2 linked regions of the Oreochromis niloticus genome follow. The protein of the gene in region 1 interacts with the protein of each later gene in a pairwise test. Links are inferred from orthologs where the notes say so. Each region holds a gene or a part of one and is shown on either strand. Other genes may lie near its edges.

The links.
Region 2: the proteins of gopc (region 1) and fosl2 interact in a two-hybrid assay, tested with the Homo sapiens proteins (2 studies listed by BioGRID and IntAct). The two-hybrid records come from large-scale screens. The link is inferred for Oreochromis niloticus from reciprocal best matches to the Homo sapiens genes GOPC and FOSL2.

What each region holds. Positions count from the first base shown.
Region 1 is NC_031980.2:28,204,090-28,207,843, reverse strand, and holds the start of gopc (Golgi-associated PDZ and coiled-coil motif-containing protein), read right to left. Parts: upstream 2,613-3,754; 5' UTR 2,332-2,612; coding exon 2,071-2,331; intron 1-2,070.
Region 2 is NC_031983.2:23,201,943-23,205,696, reverse strand, and holds the start of fosl2 (fos-related antigen 2), read left to right. Parts: upstream 1-786; 5' UTR 787-1,465; coding exon 1,466-1,594; intron 1,595-3,754.

The DNA.
Region 1 (3,754 bases):
GAAGCAGGGTTATCTCTAAGCAGGAAAACCCATCAGTTCATGCAGATGTCACTCGGGCCTGTATCACCTATTTAAACATTGTTACACACCGATACAGCCCATAATGACAATATTCACAGATGGCAAAGCTTCTTTGGACATGACAATACACCCTAATTACACAGCAAACATTGTTGAGGAAATGCCAAGGAGTTCAGGTGCTGACTTAGTCTTTAAAGCCCCTCTCATTGAAAATAAGCCTGGGGCCTGCCGACTTACAGACCGAGTCTGACAACTTTGTCGAAATGTATGGAAGCTTTGAACGGCCTAAACAATAATGTGTGTTGGAGCGGATTAGCCTGTTGCTCTTATGGTTTCGATTAGCTGAAAGCAACACAATTTTTAATGAACATTTAGGTTTGTATTGTTCAGAAAATGTCTCAGGCTTTTAATCATGTCTTTATAGTGAGAGCATTTTTGATTTGTCTAATTAGTAATGACAGGTCGTGTTCTTAAAGCAAAAACACTGAATTATTATAATAATATTAATTAGAGACACAATACGGATAAGTGAATGACAGTGATACTGTTTTTAGTTTTATGTTAACATTTACAGAAAAAATGAAGGGCACTCGAGAAAACAAACGAGACATTACATAACATAATCCCGATAACATCTAAAGAAAAGAAAATCATTGTCATTTTTAAGGCCATGACGTAATCATCGAAAAATGCTGAAATTAATTAATTTATTTATTTAAAAAAAAACGTTAGTGGTACATAATTATAAAGGATATTTAATAAAGCGGTTAAAGACACCTGAGAACATGTTCTGTATCTAGAAGACAAGTGAATGTGAAGTATGCTAACACCTATGTTGGTTTCAATGACCAAACGAAGGCTGCTGTGGATACCCTAACCCAGGGGTCGGCAACCCGCGGCTCCGGAGCCGCATGCGGCTCTTTAGTCCTTATAGTGCGGCTCCGCGTGGTTTGGGAAAATAAATTAGAAGTATTTCGCTGAAGTGTATTTTATTTATGTTAGTTCTTTTAAATTTGTAGTTCTAAATTGGAAGATTATTGTGATATTGAAATATAAATATAAAATTATATTCTATTATTTTTTCCTCACTCAATATAAGCGTCACACTCGCGGAAGCTGGTATTCCCGCCGAAACACCGTGCATTTATCGAGACTTTCAACCCCAGGTAGGCCAATTATGGATCTTCGGATCCACATTATGTCAGCAGCTCCACCGTGAACTATGTTAAAGACAAACACTGCTCACGCCTCACAGACCACAGATGACAGCTTACAGTCCTGTGTAAACGTGATTGCGGGTGCCGCTCAGGTGCGTCCGCCTCCCCTGCAGCGGCGCTGCAGACCACGCCCCCGCCGCACGCATTAACCAGGTAAAATACATATTTAGGCAGAATTTTGCAAATATCTATTTTTAATTTTTCAGCAGCATAGAGCTTTTTTACCAATTATTTTTTAAAAGTCAGGTCAAGGCTCCAACAGCCCAAAGGAGATATAAGGGAGGCGGCTCACAACAGTTTTTGTTTGCTACATGGATCATTTTAGTTCAGCTGGGTGTCTTTGCTTTTGTTATATTTCTTTAAGAGTTCAAAATGTGTTGATTACATAAATAAAATGTAATTTTCTCTGTAGCACTTCGTGGATTTCATAAGCAGCACACTTTACCTCACCTCACCTTACCTTGTTCACACAAAGGAAAAAAACAATATATACAGTGTTATCTTCATTTTAGATGTCAAAAAGTATTTGCGGCTCCCAGTGTTTTCTTTTGTGTGGAAACCGGGTCCAAGTGGCTCTTTGGGTGTAAAAGGTTGCAGACCCCTGCCCTAACCTATGTGATCACAGTTTACAGGTCGGTGCCACAGATGGATATAAAACCTGAGAAGCACAGGGAGGACACCAAAACACAGGAGTGACTGAAGCCCTGAAAACACCAGTGCTGCTCTGTGGCATTAGTCACTCTGCTGAATCTTGAGTGGAGTCGGCGTGATCATTTCATTAACAAGAAACCTGATTCCTAACATAACCGCTCTTCTTAGAAGAAATACTAACCTCTAGTTTATGGTTGAGCTGGAAGACAGTCTGGGTTTTATGACAGAGCTGAGCGAAACAGGAGCTGAGGCTGGTCATCTTCTGCCGACCCTCATACGTTATATCCACTTGATCTGGATCTATTTCTCCAAGCAACAGATCCACATCCACGAAAGCCTTATCAAATTCCTTCTCCAGCACTTCTAGCCATCGAAACATGGACATACTGGGGACAAGGCCCGAGTGCTGGCCCGATGGGGAGCATCCAGTCGAAGCAGACATGGTTAGAGCAAGGTAACGCTGATGTTAGCTTTGTGCTAACTTAAAAAACGATGACAAATTAATCTCTGCCAACACCGTTAAAATAACGCTGTAATGTGATGAACACTGTATTGGTCCGTAGACTTAAAATTCCCGAAAGCAATGCCTAACCAGGAAGTCCCACATCAGATTCACGATTTCATCCAAGCAGCCACTACGCAGAAAGCGGCGTACAGGAGAGCTACGGCTACTCCTTCCGCTACTGTGGAACTGTGCCCTGTGGGTGTTCTACGGGAACTGTCTGTCTACGTCGTACCGGAAATACGACATGTTTACGCAGAGCTTGTTCCTGTTCTTACTTTCACAATTAAAGTCTTCTAATGCGAGAAATTTTGTAAAAATAAATAAATAACATTATTTATGAACAATATAATTTTACTAATCTCGGGGCTTTCGTGACATTTGCAAGTGTAATGATTTACTGTGTAGTGTTCAAGTAACACGTGTTGTGTAGTTCTGGCTCACTAAGTAACTGATGAGGATGTGCACAAAAAGCATTATGCTGTATTGCTCGTAGGGATGGGAAGCTTCTGAAGCGCAGGTGTTAGAAAAACCAAGGCCAGTTTCGACAGGTGGCGTACACCGGGCACCAGGATTCACTAACCAACACCCTCTCTCTCAGTAATGTTTTTGTCGTGGATTGTGAAGCCCAATATGGATTATCCAAGCACTCAAACACTGGAATCTAAAGTGTAATCTGTGGCATAAACTCACTGCTGAATATCTCAATAAAAACCTCCTCTCTACTTTCAATGAGAAAATAAAACAGCAGGAATTTTCAGCTCTGAATCCCTTTCAACAGAAAACTTTATTTGCTGCAATAAGTTACTTTATTATCACTATAACACAGTACTCATATAACGCCATAAAGAATATATTTATACTGTTAAAAGAAATGTTAGAAAAACATCCATTAAATACAGGTGATCCCTTTTTCATTCCCACTGACGCTTCTGCTGTAATAATCTCATAAAGAGCAGGAGTAATGCAGTTTCACTATGACCCAGTAAAACATCATGCCAGTGTTATAAGATACAGCATCCACAGCAGTATAAAGTAAAGTTTCTTCATGGTTCAGAGGTTGCTCAGCAGAGGATGATTTAAAAATGTTCTGGTCAACCTGTGTGAAATGGTCTGTTATGATTGGTCAGAATTAGCCTATGAAAATGTGACAAATTTGACCTTTTTATAAATAAGGAATTCTGTCTTTTTTATTTAAATATTATAGATTTTAATTAATTGAAATTAAAACCTAGTGCAGTGCCAGTTTCTAGCACGAAGCTGACACGAACACCTGGAAAGCTTCAAAATCAATCAAAAACCAACCAAAAACAAAGCACACTGATCTCACAACAGCTGGAAACCTGTGTGGTTATTCCAATAA
Region 2 (3,754 bases), on another chromosome or scaffold:
AGGTGCGTCCGAATTACAATTAGCCCACATTTCACCGAGATTCCTTTGAAGCCGCCGTGCTGCACTAACCGGCGGGCCACATTAATCTGACCGTCCGTGTTGTGTGCCACCTCTCTCCAAATTAGGCACAATGCGGCGGCGCCAAAGCGCACAAAGGTTTAATTGTGCAGAAACGCCGCGTGTCCAATCGCCGAGTGTGTTTATGAGCAGCAAATGAAAACTGGTGGACATGAAATAGTTACACCCACCATGACACCCCCTCCTCTCTGTCTTTATTTGATTTATCGAATTTTCAGGCTGTGCACAGCTACAGATATGGATTTCATTTTGAAGCTGAAAAACTTTCAATAAATGATTTTACTGCGCAGCACTCGCTCCCGGTGTGTGCGGGTGCACGCGTGTCCGTGCAAGTCGCTTTAGCTTTAAGTTTCTAAGCTTTAATGTGTCGGTTTTCCATCACTGCTGGGTGGCCGAACCTGGACCGGCGAGCTCTGAGCTCCGAGTCCGGACCACAGCGCGCGAGGGGAGGGAATCCCTCCAGTGTCTGACGCTTCCTTTACCAAGGAAACCCACACGCGCTCGCTGACGCAACTGCCCATTTTAGGAAACATGCGTCAATGGACCCAAGCAAGTCAGACAAATAGTGAACTCCGCGGCAGCACTGACGTCCGTAACAAAAAATAAACCCCTCCACACATGTTCTGGACCACTTTTACCAAATCCCAGCTTTTCGGTTTTCTCCCTGCTGTCCGCAGGGCGCAGGATGGTGATAACGGATCTTTTCTTTTTCACTGCCTTTTGGAGAGACAACCCCTCCCTGCTGAAGTCGCAACGCCCATGCGTGACGTAGGCTCTTTCGTTGGTGTTGAAAAGCCGTTGCAGTTCTTCATAGTGCCATTGAAGTGAGTCATCTCTAGGAAGTGTGGTAAAAAGGAAAAGAAAAAAAAAGTTCGAAGTGTTCCGTGAGCAGCAGAGAGAGCTCAGAGGAGTGTAGCTGGCAAGGCGACGGAAAATATTGAGAAGAGTAGAGAGGCAATAGGCTTTAAAGCGAATGTTAACCTGTGTGAGTCACTCTAACTACATGTTTGATTGTCGCTGCTGGATCTGACTGCTGAAGGTGTGCTGCTGACTTTAAGCTGAAGTTTGCGCACCTGAGAGGATCTTTAGCAGCGTAGTGTAGGTTTACCTGCGGCTCCAGGAAAAAAAAACAAAACAAGAAATAGACTCTACAAGCAGGAATAATACACAAGAAAAAAAACGATTTGTATTATAAGTAAAATGTTTTAGGTTAGTTTACAGGAGCAAAATTGCACTTTTGTTTTTTTCTCCTTCTTTGGAAATTAACGACTTCTCGAATCAGAGGATTTTTTTTTTCCTGTTGGTGCCTTTTTTGCATCGGGGATTTAAAAAAAAAAAGGCTCTCAGAGCTCAAACAGTGCACTGAAATCTTCCTCTTTCCTGGATCATGTACCAGGACTACTCCGGGAACTACGACACCTCGTCCCGCGGCAGCAGCACCTCTCCGGCCCAGCCAGAGTCCTTCACAAGCGGCAGCAGCACGATCGGAAGTCCGATCTCTACCTCAAGCTACCAGGTAACAGAAGGAAAGGACTGGCTGCAGATTAATCTATTAATGAATGCATTCTGGATAACATGAAAGTGTCAGTTCGTTCTTGTGCAAAGTCCAATTTTTAGAAAATTATTCCATCGTGTTGCTACTTCCAGCCATTAACTGAATTTAAACAGGAATTTTCCGGGTCGCCTGGAGACACAAATCCGAATGAACCCAGTGACACGGTTCGTATCAGTGACTCAACAGGGGCAGTAGTCAATCTGTGCATAGGCGCAGTCTGATAATATTACAATAATTTTGCTTTTGAAATATTTAGACACTGATTATTTTATCTAATGTTAAATTTCTCCATTAGTGCGCACCGCAGCTGGCGACAATGCGCAAGTTTGCGTAAATTTATGGTACAATTGTCTTATCCCAACAATTTAAAAAAAAAAAAAAAAAAAAAAAAAAAAAGACATACAGGGTGGTTTGTGCACTGTTGCAGGGAAATTTGGCACACTGGAATGAATCCGAGTCTGTGATTTACAGATGTTAAATTCCCCTTTCTTTCTGCCAAATTCACTGTGCGTTTGTAAAACAGGAACATTTCTGGGGTTTTTGCCAATTTTCTCACAGAGACGAATGCGTGTAAAGCAAATGCACACCTGAGCTTTTTACACTTTTCATGCTGCGGTAATGATAAACTAGCTAGAGATGAAGCTCATGGTGGATGCAACAGGCATTTCGTGTTGGGCTGTGAGATGTCTGATTTCAATATTCCATATGTGTTGCTGCAGAATTTGACCCAAGTTCCGTTTAAGTGTCCACATGTTTTTATTCCACATGGAATCAGAGTCTAATTCGACCAGGCGGGTCTCGGGCTGCACATGCCACATTTTCTCCAGCTGGAAGCGCGCTCTGACTGGGAGCGCAGGGCAATCAAAAGCCCGTTCTTCCTCGCTGTGTTCACGGTAGTAATTGTAGAGATACATCTAAAACACCAAAATCTCATAAGGTTACGCTTTTACATAGTCTGAGTGAGACTTTAGACACAGTTGAGGTGTGCCAGTGTAATGCCGTGAAGACGCGGTATCTCAAAAATACGAGGATATAAATCCGGGAACAGGCATGTTGTTTACCCCCACACCCTCTGCCGTGCAATTCTGTGGAAAAGCCTCCTCAGGCTCACGCAACATTACGGTAAAAGACTTTTGGACAGTGTGTATCATTGCTCTGGTTCCCTGTAATCACACGCTGGCTGCCTGTTTCCCATTACAGGGTTGGAACATGAACTCTTCGCTAGTTTATGGAGACATATGAAAACGACCCCCCTCCCCCCGCGTGTTTTTGCAAGACCAGTATCATTTTAATCAGACTTGTTTGGCTCTAATGTCATGATTCCACTGAATGTCCTTTGTAGGCAGTTATTCATTTCCTGGTTTATATGTATTGTAAATTCCAGTGCTCTTATTCTGAAGCCAATCTGGCCCAAAAATTCCACTCGCATAATTCTGGATAATATGTCTGGCTTGTTACAGCTGGCTGCTTCCCCCCTTACTGGAACTGACCGCGTTTCACATGTGCTCGACAAATGCAATACACAATGACTCACCAGATAAACAAAGTTGCAAGAGACTGCCGGGATATCCGACGGAAAGTCGGGAATAACGGGGATGTGGGGACGTGCGTAATTTACGCACACAGGCTGGCATTCCTCCTTTTTGATACCAGAAACAATGATCTAACATCACTTCTCATGTTGATGTGTTTGTACAAGACCTTGTTGCACAAATGTATATAGGCACGATATGTAAAATGTTTGTCTGTATGAGAGTCTGAACAAAAATCTACCATTCTGGAACACATTATATCTTGAGATGTTCTCACATCTCTTTTTTTTTTTTTCCACTATTCCCCCCCCCCCAATTGTATGTTTGTTTGTTTTTTTTTAAACAATCTTCTGTGAAATAAATTTAATAAAGTTTATTCCATTAAAAATATAATTTTACATTTCCCATCTGCCCCGTCAAATCAGAAGTGAACTTAAGAAGACGTGAAATGGCTCTCTAGTGCACTGTTATGTCTCATTGTAGTAAAAATGAGATGCAGTGGACACCTTGGGCTTTCCCACATGAATCACTGCATGTGTCACTGTTTCACTCCAGGGGTTACATACAGTGTTTCGCCTATGTGGACTGA